Linked DNA regions of Arabidopsis thaliana. The protein of the gene in region 1 interacts with the protein of each later gene in a pairwise test. Each region holds a gene or a part of one and is shown in the gene's direction. Other genes may lie near its edges.

Region 1 (7,704 bases):
AGGAGGCTCAACCGGCAAATGCTGCAGCCGAAGCTGGATATAAGAACGTTAATACGGATCAAGAGAAATCTACTCAAAAAGCAACGGAAAAGGTAATTATGTAGTTGATTTTCTTAGATATATATATGAGTTTTTTTTTCCGTTTATTTATTTTACATATGAGTTAGGTCTAATACGAACTTTGTTATTATATAGGGTAAGGAGAAGGAAGATGCTGCGAAGGAAGGAAGCAAGAGTCTTGGTAAGAGACCACGTGGTTATGAAGCACGCATTATCAATGACAAGGTGAGGACACGTTTGTTTGTTTAATGCGTGTCTCTCAACGAAAAAGACCACGTTGTTCAACGTTTTTTTCTTTCTTATTTTTTTGGAAAAAGGCTTAATGTTTTGTTATTTTGATTTCAAAATGCAGAGGAGACGCAATGATATTAATAGCAAAATTGAGACGTTGAAGGAGATGACACGTTGTAATGGAAAGGTTCATGCATACCAACTTTTTGCCTCTATTTTTTTCATCTAATTGTTGCAAATACAAATTGATACATGTGTTTAATTATCTTTACTAATCAAAATATTTTGTTCATATACGTATAAACAAGAAGTTTATTCTCCTATTTGTGTTTGAAACTTAACATATGTCCTTAATTAAAAAACTAAATTAGTGGTGTTTTTTTAGGACATCCATTTAACTTGTATCAACAAACGCTAATGAAAAATAAATTTGGGTCTGATATTACTAATACAACTTTTGCTTTGTTTTTAATTTGTTATCCGCATGAACTGTACGTAGAGAAACTTAGACTCGAGCCTTGAGTATATCATCGATAAAATACGGGAGATGAAGCTTTGTGTAGAAGTAAGTAATCTGAATCGTCACATTGTTGTTATCTCACGACATGCATGTATATTTAGGATTTCATATATGTTTTTTTAGTTTCAAATTTTTCTTTTTCATTGGTTTTGTTTAATTCAGTTTATCATATGTTATATGATAGTTAAGTGAATGTCATTTCTTACTTGCTGGATTAGACAAAAGCAGTAATTAAAGAAAACCATTTATCATGACTAAACTCAATATTTAACAATGCAGAGTTATTGGAGAAACTCAATAGGTCTAATGATGCCACCGGGCATGGGGGTGGTGGATATTCCGGCACCATGGGTATATCCTTATAATTATGTCCCTCCAAACTACATGATGTATTACAATCACTTTCCGGCAGCACCGGCACCAGGAGAAACTAGCGGCTACGCCAACCAATTTGTACCCTTTACCACTTATCAGGTTTTGATTTGTTTTCTTCTTCATGTGTTTATATTTTTGTGATTGTTAGTTGTTCTTTATTTATCTGTTCTTTCTTGACAATGAAAAATTTACAGGGAGTCAACAACAATAATCAACCACAGACGACAAAGCCGATGTAAACTACAAGATGCTGTAGTATATAAGACCAGTTCATGTTTTAGTATTAAAGACCGGTTCTCTCAAGTTCTTTAATAATATGGTTTGTTGTTTAATGTAAAGGAGTTGGTCTCCCAAGTTGTATTTGAAACTAGGAGTACTATGTGGCTTGCTCTTTGTTGTACGTTTTCGCACTGTTGTATAGTATACTGTAACGTTGTAACGTTTTACATTGTTTATCGTAAACAACTTATAGTATTTTGGTTGTTTAAATGCAATGTTTTCGTGTTTAGTTCTAGTGCGCAACATCATATATTAATTCACATTAATCACCAAGAAGAATCTAGCTATATTGTGAAACTAAGGATTGTTCCGAACATAAACAAAAAATGTGTTGAAATATATTATATTATATCTAAAATAAAATAAATAATATAAATATTATTATTTTGGCAAAAAAACTATATTAATATTGTTTTAAAGAAAAAAAACTTTGTAGCTAAAATGATAAACATATATAAGTGATTTTTTTTAACTTACATATCTCGTTAACGTTTTTTTGTTTTTTCGTTAACGTTTATAATTTGTAAGAAAGATTTAAAAATGAAATATTTTCATAAATATTTAAATATTAGATATTTGATCCGCGGTTTGGGCCTGTAGAGAATCTTAAATTCATTTTTTTTTTCTGTTTTTATTTTCAATCTTTGAGCAAAACAAATAGTTAATGATGTTATAGATTCAATTGTTTAACAAAAACTAACTTAAGAAATTAATTTAATTGAATGATTTTTTTTATAACTAAATTGAATGATATTGCAAATATCTATTTACAACATTAAATATATTTGTTACTATAATGATGTTAGTGTAAAAAATATATTCATTGTTGCACCCAAAACATTCATAATTAAATGTTAGTTTTAAACTTGGCAATCGAAATTTTATATTATTTTTCTTTCAAATCGCTCATATGATGGCAGGTTAACCAAATATGTTTTGCTTGTCCGTTTTTTTTTTCTATCTGTCTCCAATTGTTCAAATAATATATACGAGATATTGAAGAAATGGTTGAGAGAAAAAAATGAAATGGTTGAGAGAAAAAAATGAAATGGTTGAGGTTTATTTAAGAAGGAGAAGTAACGAGAGTGTGCATGTATCCACAAATAACCCAAATTAAAATAGTACATCTAGCTATAAAAAACGTCCCGTCTCAATGAAGTAATCAGACGACGGTCTTATGTATTTGGGTCGATGGCGAAGCTATTCGATAGAGAGTTCAAGATCTCTGATCAGCACATGTTTATATGAAAGATTTTGGTGCATGACTCCTTAAAATATGTATGAGTATTGAAGAGACACGTAACTCGATAAATATATGCAAACGTACGTTCTAAATATCACATCAGAAGCTAGCTTGCACAGTGTTACAAGCCGGTCAAAACAAATTTCTGACTAGAAACATTTTCTTGCCCTTGCATGGACATGTCCATGCATGTTGTTGATATAATAGAAAGTTTATCTTGTTCTCAATCAAAATAAATAATTCTTAAATATTGAAATATGTCATTTTTGTTCGAACTTGTAATAGGAGTTTTACAGTTCTCTTTTCCAACTAGATAATGTTTTTCCAATTTTAATGCAATTTGTTGTATCCATAGCTAGCTTGAGAAGAAAAATAAAATACTAAAGATTAAGAACTGCCGTTCATGAACAAGAATGACACTATTCCCCTGCCGTTCTTAGAATTTCAAGAAAGAGCAAGAAAGCAAATATAAGAAAACAACAAAAATATATGTTTTCTTCTGTCTAATGGATGTGCGTAAATGTGGAACACATAAATATAATAATATAATGGAAAATGAGTAAATAAATTGTTAGAGAAAACCATGGGACGAAGCAAAATCATCTTCTTTGCTTCCCGCTCAATTGTTGGAACTTTCAAAAGAAGCTTCTTGTATCTCCCCTATATATATATAGCTTATGGCTGAACTAACTAGTTTATCCTTAACCCTCCACTTTTCACTCTTTAACAAACTCAAAATCCTCAATTTAGTCAATCATCAATGGAGAGAAACAACCGCAACGAGGGGACTCACGAAGAAGAGCAATGTTCGCTTTCTGATATTATTTATTCGTTTTGTTCAGAAAATCATAGTGAATTAAACCCTTTGCAAGAGATATTCGGTGTTACCAAAAACAATGATCATGAGAAACACGACGAGGAGCCAGACGAGGAAAGTTACCGTATGGCTAAACGGCAACGTTCCATGGAATATCGTATGATGATGGAGAAGGTGAAGATGACTTAATCTCCTTCTTCTCTTACGTGATTCCCTAGCTAATTTATATTTTTGCTTTCTAAACTTTGTAGAAAAGACGAAAGGAGATCAAAGATAAAGTAGATATTTTGCAGGGGTTGATGCCTAATCATTGCACAAAGGTTAACTATTACTTAATTTACTCCATATTTTTTATATATTAGAGTCTAATACAATATCAAGTTTCGAATATCGAGTTTCTTGTGTGTTTATCTACAGCCGGACCTTGCATCGAAGCTTGAAAACATCATTGAATACATTAAAAGTTTGAAATATCAAGTAGATGTAAGCATTAAACTATATCTAATTTAATTTAGTTACTTGTATCCATTAGAGTATATATGTTCTTATGTGTTATGTGGATGTGGTCCAGGTTATGTCAATGGCATACACAACAACTCCGGTTTACACACCACCATTTTATGCAGCAGCTCAAGCACCATGTATGTCTCCTTGGGGCTATTATACGCCAGGAGTTCCAATGATGCCTCAGCAAAACATGACCTATATCCCGCAATATCCTCAGGTTTGATCAAATTAAAGTTTAATCTGATTCCACAGATTCTGATTTCTGCCATCAATCTTTTATCACAGGTATATGGAACAGTGCCGCCAAATCAAACTCAACCTTAAAACAAGCTCTAGCTATGTGGCTTTTTAAGACCCTCCGGCTTTAGACTCGTTGCTGTTTATATAGACTGTCTTTGTAAACTAAGATATGTACATAGATACATAAATACATACGTAGTTTTATGTATAACTTTTAGTTTGATGCCACAATATGTAAAAACACCTGTTTTTTATGTTCTGTTTTGGTTGAGCATTGTTCCTCTGTTATTTATGTTCTGTTTTGCTCAACCTTTTTCTTTGTTGAATGTAAGTTAAATAAACAACAAAGATGTTATGTTACGTGTAATAGTACGTTTGTACCAAACATTACTACAACCCTAGTTTGATAATTTTTATCTTGAATCATAGAAAACGAACTAGATCACTAAAATGTTAAATTCAAGAAGCAGAATACATTCATTGGCTACAAATTATCTACACACTTTAACTTTTTTTATTAAAGCAAGAAGCCAAAATAGTTTTATCTTTAAATGTTACTAAAGTAAACAAAAAATGCTTCCCGTTTAACCTCCACAACCACCACCGCAGCCAGCGGCGCAACTGGATCCATTGACATCGTCGTTAGTGTGAGGTTTAGAAGCTCGGTCACTGCATGAGAAAATCACGGCTGCTATGACGGAGAAAGCCACAACAGCTGCCCAAATGTAGAGTGAGACTTCACCATTACCCGCCGCTATTACCGCGAGTTCTCCTCTCACCATTGAAAGAGTTTTTGTGCATCGCTTTGTGACAATTGTTGAGACTAGTTGATAAAGAGAGTTGTAATTGGCATATTTTCAAATGTGTGGTTTTGCGTTTTCGAGTCAGAAGTCACCAAAAAAAAGATGCGACGACTCTTTCTTATATATACTGCCCTTTGGTTTAACTCTAGGGTCAGTGGATCACAAGCTAGTAGTTAACCAATTGTGTGTGCGGCCACTTGATTGTCTTAAAAAATAAATTAAAAATTTCTTAGTTAGCAAAAAAACATAACTAAGAGCGAGTTTTTAAAAGTGGTCATAAAGTAGAACAATATAAGAAAGTAGCACTACAAATGACATAATTACATAGATGACTATATTTACATAGATGTCTATTTGGACTTTGAATGTATGGATATACGAAAATATTTTGGAGATTTGTTTTTCTGAAGATTCAAAAAATTGATTAGAAGACTCTGATTAGCAACTTAAAACAATTTGAACTATCTAACAAATAAATGGTAAACAGTTACGGAATAATGCAAAGATGTAAAATAGAGAAGCAGTAAGCAAAAGTGATAAACAAAAATCCAAACAAAAAACCAAGAGGTATATATTAACTTAATTTGGTTTACGGAAAAAAAATACATGAATAGAGACAAGAAAATAGATGAGTCTCGATGAGTCTTTCTAGTAAGAAATCAAGAGCTGATTGCATGTGAAGCAACATCCCTAGTGACCTTGACGAAGCCAAAGAGGTACCTAATATATTTTTATTTTCTTTTATCACCAAAGAGGTGCGAGGTGCCTAATAATGAAACGAATATCTGTTGAATATATCCCTGATATAAAGTTAGACCTCAAAATTGCAAAATTTTAGACTAATAAATCGTTGTAACGTGAGTTATGCTAACTCTTACAAAACTTTCTACTAAGGTTTGAGGAAGATGTAATGGTATCAAAACCCAGTCAAGCTTCGTAGCAGAATGGCAAATATCGAATAACATTTTCATTGCACAAGAATATTTCATAGAGTTTAGAGAAACCAATCATGCTTAAAATAGTGATAGCCAGTAATAACATATTTTAGAAAAGACTATTCTAATCACAACGAGTCACCTTCAATAAAGAACGAAAATCTAATGATCAATACCCATTGAATCCTGAATTCCTTGATGAACAATCATGATTACATGAACAAAGACTTATTTTAAGTTTTAATAATGTGTAACAATATGTGCAGATTTGGAAGATTGATATACATAAAAGTTACATAGTCCTTCTAGTTTTAGCTTGAGCTTTAGGGATCTTGTTAATGACTTTGGAGTTGAATTTGTTTAGGAGCTTCTTCATGTCCCTCCCACTTTTACTTGCTGCATAAGTCAGCTCTTCTTCGTATTGCTCATACAACATCGGTATTGTCTCCAAACCCACAAATACTTCACCAAAACACCAAAAATGTTTGTAATTAAAGCCATACTTAAAAAGAAAGGCTTTTACCAAAAAGAAAGGCTTTTACCAAAAAGAAAAAGTTTTGGAAAATGTAGAGTGTTAATCAGTAAATGTGTTAGATAACCTCATTAAGACTCACCGATGTATAATAGAGTTAGAGAGCTGAAATAGTTTCCAACCACTGATAATATCCATAGGGAAACAACGGCCTAAAACGAAACGAGACACAAGTTATAAAATCAAAACAATCTTGGTATGAAATAATTAAAATGAAATTGTGTGTATTGATTTATACCAGAAAAAGGAGTCTGAAGTCTTTGCCACTTGAAATATCATACAATTTGATGATGAACCAGTTTATCTTGTTGAACAAGAATCTCCAATTCGATTCCGAAATCCTTAGATCATTAATACTCGGAGGTTTACTGCGCAAAATAACATTTCTTGAGAGCTTGGTTGATTGATTCATAAAGAAGTATATCTCAAGTAGTGTTAATGTTTTTCTTACCTCTGGATTAGTTGTGAGGAGCCAATGTAAGACCAAATGAGGAATATGAAAATGAATAGTAAGAGGATCTGGCAGAGGAAAGTGATGAAAGGATATTCAACCACTTCGAACAAGAACCATATCAATGTGAATACCCCCAAGATTGTTCCTGATTCTTTCTTGTTCTTCCAGAACATTATATCAGCAACTACAAGCATTTCAAGAGAAAAATCCTTTAGAAAAAGAACCAAAATTAATGTGAAAACGGAAAGAAAAATATATGTTACATCGTCCTCCTCCTAGATTGTGGTACAAAGATCTTCGTCGTCTCGATGAAGAAGCTCTATGTTCATCCATTTCATATCCAAAAACCGCCATTTTGTTTTGGTTTCAGGTTTTGAAACAACTGTGGCCTTTTTTGTGAGCTAAGGTCTAAGATTCATGGTTTATTATATAGTTCCGAACTTTTAGGATAAGAACGGTTTTGTTCTTGGATTCATAAAGAAGAAAGCGATTTGAGAAAAAACAGGAAAGGTATGGCTTTAGCATATTGCAAAAACTCATCATTTTATTGCTACATGAATAAATTAGTTTTATATCTTGTAGAGAATCTTTCTTAACTTGAGTTAATGATCAAAAATGTATTCCAAAAAGTTATCAACATTTTGATCATAGCTAAACCCTTTCCCATGCAAGTATATTCCAAGTTGAGGCTAGATATGTTAGGAATGC
Region 2 (8,879 bases), on another chromosome or scaffold:
CTGTTGCATTGTTCGCTATGGCTCTTCAAAACTTTGAGAGAAAACTGAAATCTGCAGCTGAAAAGAAGTCCTCAGAAATTATAGCATCAGTCTCCGAGGAGATACATCTGGAGTTGGAGAATATCAAGTCCCATATCATAACAGAAGCGTATGTTTGTATAATTTATTCTGCATTCTTTCTTTTAAATTATCAATCAAAGATCTTGTTAATTATGGTACAGGGGAAAGACAAGTAACCTAGCCAAAACTAAGAGAAAGCATGCCGAAACAAGATTACAAGGTACATCAACACATTATATCTTAATAGTTAATACTGTACTCGAATTCACAGTCATGAACATTAAGAAAGCTTAGAAGTTCAAATATACTATCTTTGCAGTTTAATCCTGATTCAAGGTAGTAGATCGGAAATTTGATATCAAGTATTACTCTTTAGATTGCATTTAGTCTTGAAGTACTCACCATCTTGCTTCATTCTTGTGCTTTCATGTCTCTTTGATTAGACACACACACACACCTAACTATACTTTCGGCTCTAACATAGACATGAAACTTGCATTTAACATAGTTATATCAAGACAAAGCTAAATGCTCAATTCATTCCTATGTGGAGAATAATAAAAAATTGAGCTGTGTATTGTTGTGGAACATGAGAGTCTGGAAATGTCTCCATATTTCCACTCATTGAATAAAAATATGCAAGATCCGTTCTGATCTATTGTGTTCACTGATAATATCTAATCGTCTAACAGAGCAAGAAGAGAAAATGAGAATGATCCATGAAAAGTTCAAGGACGATGTCAGCCATCATCTTGAAGATTTTAAGAGTACTATCGAAGAGCTTGAAGCAAACCAGTCAGAGCTGAAAGGAAGCATAAAGAAGCAAAGTATGTTAACTTCTGTAATTCCTGCTTTTACTACAACGAATTCTAACACTAGAAATACTTGAAACATATGATGTTATCAAAGTTAGATTCTTCATGGCAAGATAGTTTTAATATAATAATAGCAGGAGGACAAGTATTTCCTAAACTCACTTGATAACTTTTTATCTCTCTATGACAGGAACATCACACCAAAAACTCATTGCACATTTTGAAGGAGGCATCGAGACAAAACTGGACGATGCGACCAAAAGAATCGATTCTGTAAACAAGGCAAGTCATTGTTCTGCTTCTTAAGAGTCAGATTCTAAAAATGGTTAAATCATGAATTCAAAAGCACAACTTAAAAATGACGTATTGGTTTACAGTCTGCGAGAGGAAAGATGCTGCAGCTGAAGATGATTGTCGCAGAATGTTTGAGGGATGATTGACACTGAGTCTCACAGAATCAATCAACCACACGTACGTCGTTATTCTCCATTTTAAAACATAAACTAGACGAACTGTGTTAACCAGGAAAGAAAAACCTCTCAAGCAAAACCAGCCTTTGGTTTAGTGGTCTCATGAGTTCAGGCGAATAAAGAAGATATAGTAGATGATGCTTTGACTCATTGTCATTGATTCGTATTCGTATAGAATAGTTTATTGTTCACTGAACCACTACAAAACTACTTATATCATAGAGCCTTATTTTATATAGCAGTTTGAAGGTTTCTTTTTAATTTATTTTTGCCAGCAACTGCAGATATTTTTTATTAAACCAACAACTTTTAATTAGGTTATTGATATCTTGATATATATCGAAGCAAAACCAATCCAAACATTTTTCTTTTAAAAACCAGAATATTTTGCAGACGTTGATGTGAATTTTAATTACAATATTTTACTTTAACAGAGATGTATTTCATATTGAATATCAAAACCAAACTGAACAAAGAATGGTCACAATTCGATATCAATCGAATGAAACAGAAAATAAAATGTTGGACCCAACAATTTTACTGTGATGATAAAAACATGGTAGAGATAATTTTGTTTGTAAATAGAGAGATCTCAAATCACAGAGGATTCTTTTTTTACGGTCGGTAAAAGAATTTAGAATGTGTCGAGAGGGTAAAAATGGAGAAGACGACAAGATAGTAGCAGTCGTTAGAAACAAACAAGAAAGAAGGGAGGGAGACAAAATAACACAAAGGGGTGGATGAATCACGCGGCATTCACGTGAAGTGCACGTGAACTTGGCCAAAAAAAGCCTAATTGTGGGTCCCATTTAAAGAGAAAACTAAAGCCTTTAAGAAAGGGCCCATCCATATATGTCTTAATAATGGCGTGAAGGTTCTTTCCGCTCACGTGGGCCTTTTGTGCCCGTCTCTCTCGCATGTCACTCACTACAGTTTTACTAGTGTTTTGTTTTATTTTTGATAACAACATTATTGATTTTTTTTCGGTCTACCTAAGTTTTGACCTTTCTTTTTTAATTGTGAACAATTGAACATGCGTATTACTTATTGATAATACTTTTATCTTCAATAAAAAAAATAACACACGAACATAATATAGAAATAGTGTGTTCCAATACTGGAGATTATTTAGTAAGTTCAGTTGGACGCTTTGTCATTGCATAGTTTGGAATTTATTCCTAAACTTTCTAAGAACACGTTCTTATAGGAATTTGCATGACGAAAAAATCAATACTAGTTGCATTATTGTTGGAGCATCATCGGGAGTGATTTTTTTTGTGTTTTCCTATTTACTACATTGTGTTTTCCTGACCTTTTAAATAAAAAGGAAATACACAAAACCATATATAAATATATGTATATATATATCTGACTGTGCTCAAGTAAAATTCACGGATCAGACGTTAAAAAAATGATCATGCTTAATATTTTCTCATTTTAGATGAAGACAAAAAAAAAAAAAAGGAATTGCAATCGTAGATTTGACTTTATTTTTATTTAATTTTTCTATTCTTTTTCCGAAAGCAGAGAAAAATGGAGCGGTGGAGAGTAGAGAAGTCGGTCATAAGAATGTCTCTCTCTCTATTTCTTTGTCTTTCACTATCGCCCATACATTATCTTGCTTCTTTCATTTATTCCATCAATATTTTTGTTTTAAAATGAAAGATTTACACATTAACATGAATACTTATACTACTCTTTATCGCGTATATATAGTATAGTCTATGTTATTATGAATTTATGATTATATTTTTTCTATAAAACGTGCGAAAACTCATTTCACATATACAAACAAATATATACGTTTTGTATTAAAAAAAAGCAACTGTAAATTTTATAAATCTGAAATGTAACATTTGAAGTCGACCAAAGTTTGTAAGGTAATAATTTGTACTAATTCTCCATACTGTGTCATAATCACGATTCAAGGATAAATATATGAGTTGTGGACCAAAACAAATCCTCCATATCAATCAATCATAAATGAAATAAGCGAATATACATATATACAACCGACTATATATATATATATATGCTGCTCTTCATTAACCCCAAGAAAGAAAACCAAAGTGTGAAGTCCGAATCTCTCTGATTCTACAATTCACAAAAACCGGAAAAAAAAAAAGACAAGTAAAGAAAGCTTTGTTCAGTTTACTTCAATGGAAGCAAAACCCTTAGCATCATCATCATCTGAACCAAACATGATTTCTCCATCATCAAACATTAAACCAAAGTAAGTTTATTATGGTTTCATCTACACTTTTTGCGACTTCTATAAACATATACACATGCGTGGTTTTGAAATAATGGGCGCTTATGGTTCTGTCGGTGCTTGAAACAATTTTGTCTTCTCCTGACTATTTTTTTTTTGTTAATAGGTTATTTATACGTGACTCTTTTCTTGCAGATTAAAAGATGAAGATTATATGGAGCTGGTGTGTGAAAATGGGCAGATTCTTGCAAAGATTCGAAGACCAAAGAACAACGGTTCTTTTCAAAAGCAACGTAGGCAATCTCTCCTGGATTTGTATGAGACCGAGTACAGCGAGGGTTTCAAGAAAAACATCAAGATTCTTGGAGACACACAAGTTGTTCCGGTGAGTCAGTCTAAGCCACAACAAGATAAAGAAACCAATGAACAAATGAACAACAATAAGAAGAAGCTAAAGTCCTCCAAAATCGAATTTGAGAGAAATGTTTCGAAAAGCAACAAATGTGTTGAATCATCAACATTAATTGATGTTTCTGCTAAAGGTCCAAAGAATGTTGAAGTTACTACAGCTCCTCCTGATGAGCAATCTGCAGCTGTTGGTAGATCCACGGAATTGTATTTTGCTTCTTCATCGAAGTTTTCTCGAGGAACTTCGAGAGATCTAAGTTGTTGTTCTTTAAAGAGGAAGTATGGAGATATTGAAGAAGAAGAATCAACCTATTTAAGTAATGTAAGAGAAATTAATTAGCTGCTTGTCTTAGTTCTTTCACATGGTAGATCATTAATTGTCTTTTTCTTATTGCTTATGCAGAATTCAGATGATGAATCAGATGATGCGAAGACACAAGTTCATGCGAGAACAAGAAAGCCGGTGACTAAAAGAAAACGAAGCACAGAAGTCCATAAGTTATATGAAAGAGTGAGTTTATATGTATGAAAATTTCACCTTAGTTAGTAGAAAAAAAATAATGTATGAAAATTAATGCTAATTAAGGATTTGTTAACAGAAACGAAGAGATGAATTCAACAAGAAAATGCGTGCTTTGCAGGACCTACTACCAAATTGTTACAAGGTTTGAGATTAACTTAAATCACATTACATTGTTTACTTAGTCTTAGAGAGTTAATTAATTTTCTCTTTGTGGAGATTTCTGAATATCTGTAATTGTTGATGATAGGATGATAAGGCTTCATTGTTGGATGAGGCTATCAAATATATGCGGACCCTTCAACTTCAAGTTCAGGTATTCAAAATAATACACCAATTCAATAAAATTTCATTGAGAGATAATAAAATGATTCAGGTGTTAATTATTTAAACACAGACTTGTGTTTATATTTACATATAAATTTGTTTTTTAACATTAAAATATACTTTGTAAAGTGTTTTTGTTATCAAATATTATTGCGTTTGGCTTTTACCTTTACGAATGATTCTTGATAAAGTCACTAGAAACTAGTTTCATAAGAGAAACCAAAACAAATTATAAACGTAATTAAACACTAATCAATAAACAATCAAAAGTTTATTCCTTATTTATTTTACTACAAATTTTTTTACATATATATAAGATTCTTAATTAACATGCTCTAATAATTATTTACAGATGATGAGTATGGGAAATGGATTAATAAGACCACCTACGATGTTGCCAATGGGTCATTACTCTCCCATGGGTCTAGGAATGCATATGGGTGCAGCAGCAACACCAACATCAATACCGCAATTCCTGCCTATGAATGTTCAAGCAACCGGTTTTCCGGGGATGAACAATGCACCACCACAAATGCTAAGCTTTCTTAATCACCCAAGTGGACTAATTCCAAACACTCCTATCTTTTCTCCATTGGAAAATTGCTCTCAGCCATTCGTGGTGCCTTCGTGTGTTTCTCAGACTCAGGCTACTTCTTTTACTCAATTCCCAAAGTCTGCGTCCGCCTCAAACTTAGAAGATGCAATGCAATATAGAGGAAGCAACGGTTTTAGTTATTATCGCTCGCCAAACTAATGATTTGTAGAAAGTTGATGTTTTCTCCAACTAACTAACTTTAAGCAAAAAAAAATGATCGTCTACTCTGTGTTGTTAGTCTATGGGCTTTTGGGCCTTGATTCTTGGAACGATTTGAACTTAATTCCAACTATTTTCAAAGTGGATGTACAAAGTAAAATATAACAAATATAAGTTATCATAGACTCTATAACAAAGTTATAAGTAGAGGACGTGCAATTGCATAATGATGGATGATGATGAGTGTTCAATTACGATAAACCGATTTTAACGCAAACCCAACTAAGATGAAGACAACTCATTTGACCTAAATCGTAATTTGAAACGAATTTTGCCATGTTTTTGGGATTAAGGAACAATCTCAATGATGAGATTGAGTAAAGTACTACAAAACTTGGGCTTGATGGGCTTTTTAGTGGACTAATATCTACTTTATTCTTTCTTTTTTCAAACATTAAAAAATTAATTGGGCTTTTTCAAACACGAAAACAAGGGAGTGCAATAGTGTGATGAAGATGAGACTCACACATTGAATTTCTGATATTTTAGCGTCAGGTGCGTTGAAAACTTGAAATCAATGTGAAGATTCTCTTTTAAAAATAGATGACTCTTATTTCATGAGTTAACATGATACTTAAAGAAAGTGGATAGTTAAGTCTAAACCAATTCTTTTAGTATAGAAATAAAATTTCAACCACTTCCTTTAAATATGAAACCATGCAAAAGTAGATAACAAACGAAAAAGTGTTTCATTTTAAGATTCGATGTCACGATCCATCACATTGCACCGTTGGTTGATAAATATCTCTCATCTTTGTTTATTTATTTTCACAATGTTGTACTTCTATTTCTATAACATTTTCGTTTGAATTCAAATACCAAATTAACTCTCCAAACAATTAGTTCATCAAGTATTTTGTTCACAATGATATGTTAACAACAAATCATTGATTCATTGTCCATGCCGGATTATTTTAAAGATACAGAAACAGTAAACCTAAGATACAATGAATGCTAAAACTAAATTATTCTCCCAAAAGGATTACTTAGCTTTCATGAGTAATTTTATATTTTTCTTTTATCCACTCATTTTTTATATACTTTCTATAATTGTCTTATTACGTAACAAATATGTGCTATAGGCATATTTAGAATCTACTCTATCATCATACCATATATAAGACACATTTTACTTTATTAATTACTTTTTGTTTGTTCTCAAATTGAAAATAAACAGACGTGTTTGTGCTAACTTCATGTAGTGTTTAGATAGTGTTTCATTCACTGGCCATAGACTTATTTTACAAAGTTATATGTGCATGTCATTATATAGTGTAGAACTTAAAACACCTAACCAAGAACAACAATACACACACACAAACATAAGGAAAAAAAAACTTTTCCATGGGGCTCGTAATTTTCTTGGCACTAATTGTCTTAATCCTTATTATTGGTCTCAGGATATTCAAAGCTTTTATGATTCTTGTTTGGCATCCATTTGTGTTGACCAGAAGACTCAAAAACCAAGGAATCTCAGGCCCAAATTACAGAATCTTTTACGGAAACCTCAGCGAGATAAAGAAGATGAAGAGAGAATCTCATCTTTCGATTCTTGATCCTAGCTCCAATGATATTTTCCCTCGTATTCTTCCTCATTATCAAAAATGGATGTCTCAATACGGTGTCGTTTTCTCCAACTCTCTCTTTGTTCATCTTTTATTTTAGATTTTATTCGAGGATAATGCGTAACACACAAGTTATCTATGTTATATATTATTAGGAGAGACTTTTCTTTACTGGAACGGAACAGAGCCAAGGATATGCATCTCAGATCCTGAACTTGCAAAAACTATGTTGTCGAACAAGTTAGGTTTCTTTGTCAAATCAAAGGCAAGACCTGAGGCTGTTAAACTTGTCGGCTCCAAAGGACTTGTCTTTATCGAAGGTGCTGATTGGGTTCGCCATAGAAGAATCTTGAACCCTGCTTTCTCCATCGATAGGCTCAAGGTATTTTAATCCTTCTTTCTTAGCTTGACTTGAGAAATTAAACATTAGAGCCGAATAACTTAATTTTGGTTGTAAATTTCTCATTTTGTTGATCAGATCATGACGACCGTGATGGTTGATTGTACGCTCAAGATGTTAGAGGAGTGGAGAAAAGAGAGCACTAAGGAAGAAACAGAGCACCCGAAGATTAAAAAGGAAATGAACGAAGAGTTCCAAAGACTAACAGCTGATATAATAGCAACCTCTGCGTTTGGAAGCAGTTACGTCGAAGGAATCGAAGTGTTTAGATCACAAATGGAGCTTAAAAGGTGTTATACAACTTCTCTCAACCAAGTCTCTATCCCTGGAACTCAGTAAGTTAATCATTCTCCTACTTTCAGTTCTCAAACAAGATTCTTAGGTTTTGACATATATTGGTCTTGTTTCTTGTATTCTAAGGTACCTTCCTACGCCTTCGAACATTCGGGTATGGAAGCTGGAGAGGAAAATGGATAACTCAATTAAGAGAATTATAAGTTCGAGACTACAGTCAAAGTCAGATTATGGAGACGATCTTCTCGGAATCTTGTTGAAAGCTTACAACACTGAAGGGAAGGAACGGAAGATGAGCATCGAAGAGATCATACATGAATGCAGGACTTTCTTCTTCGGAGGTCACGAAACTACTTCGAATTTATTGGCATGGACAACGATGTTGCTGAGCTTGCACCAAGATTGGCAGGAGAAACTCAGAGAAGAGATATTCAAAGAATGCGGTAAAGAAAAAACCCCAGATTCAGAAACTTTCTCCAAACTCAAGCTGGTAATGTTCATTTTTTTCAAAGGGTCTCTTGTGAGACAATGTTTCTTGCGGTTGAAGAAACCTGTTTATTTCTTGCAGATGAACATGGTGATCATGGAGTCGCTTCGACTTTACGGACCAGTGTCAGCTTTGGCCCGAGAAGCATCAGTAAATATAAAGTTAGGTGACCTAGAGATTCCCAAGGGCACAACCGTAGTCATCCCGCTTCTGAAGATGCATAGCGACAAGACCCTTTGGGGATCCGACGCCGACAAATTCAACCCAATGCGGTTTGCAAACGGCGTTTCCCGAGCCGCCAATCACCCAAACGCTCTCCTAGCATTCTCCGTCGGACCAAGAGCTTGCATTGGCCAAAACTTTGTCATGATCGAAGCCAAGACTGTGCTCACCATGATTCTTCAACGGTTTCGGTTTATTAGCCTCTGTGACGAGTATAAGCACACCCCTGTGGATAACGTCACTATTCAGCCTCAGTACGGCTTACCCGTAATGCTTCAGCCTCTG

Evidence for each region. Proteins that work in one complex are often made in the same cells at the same time.
Region 2: the proteins of AT1G68240 (region 1) and PIL1 interact in binary tests that used the Arabidopsis thaliana proteins (3 or more experiments, as listed by UniProt).

What each region holds. Positions count from the first base shown.
Region 1 is NC_003070.9:25,571,831-25,579,534, reverse strand, and holds AT1G68240 (basic helix-loop-helix (bHLH) DNA-binding superfamily protein), read left to right. Parts: upstream 1-3,405; 5' UTR 3,406-3,468; coding exon 3,469-3,699; intron 3,700-3,776; coding exon 3,777-3,845; intron 3,846-3,942; coding exon 3,943-4,008; intron 4,009-4,096; coding exon 4,097-4,249; coding exon of another isoform or gene 4,250-4,255; exon of another isoform or gene 4,256-4,317; coding exon 4,318-4,356; 3' UTR 4,357-4,671; downstream 4,672-7,704. Other genes in the region: AT1G68250 (uncharacterized protein), read left to right, coding at 1-104; AT1G68238 (uncharacterized protein), read right to left, coding at 4,857-5,054; AT1G68230 (Reticulon family protein), read right to left, coding at 6,303-6,472, 6,625-6,694, 6,781-6,910, 6,994-7,180, 7,260-7,350. UniProt on the Arabidopsis thaliana protein: Transcription factor involved in somatic embryogenesis. Acts as a positive regulator of somatic embryo formation. Acts as a positive regulator of ECP63 by targeting its promoter and inducing its expression.
Region 2 is NC_003071.7:19,292,304-19,301,182, reverse strand, and holds PIL1 (phytochrome interacting factor 3-like 1), read left to right. Parts: upstream 1-3,324; 5' UTR 3,325-3,504; coding exon 3,505-3,578; intron 3,579-3,645; exon of another isoform or gene 3,646-3,661; coding exon of another isoform or gene 3,662-3,669; exon of another isoform or gene 3,670-3,752; coding exon 3,753-4,287; intron 4,288-4,368; coding exon 4,369-4,476; intron 4,477-4,564; coding exon 4,565-4,630; intron 4,631-4,735; coding exon 4,736-4,801; intron 4,802-5,164; coding exon 5,165-5,566; 3' UTR 5,567-5,752; downstream 5,753-8,879. Other genes in the region: ASY3 (asynaptic protein), read left to right, coding at 1-148, 222-280, 753-887, 1,066-1,157, 1,253-1,315; CYP709B1 (cytochrome P450, family 709, subfamily B, polypeptide 1), read left to right, coding at 6,971-7,247, 7,347-7,573, 7,670-7,926, 8,012-8,375, 8,454-8,879. UniProt on the Arabidopsis thaliana protein: Transcription factor. Involved in responses to transient and long-term shade. Required for the light-mediated inhibition of hypocotyl elongation. Necessary for rapid light-induced expression of the photomorphogenesis- and circadian-related gene APRR9.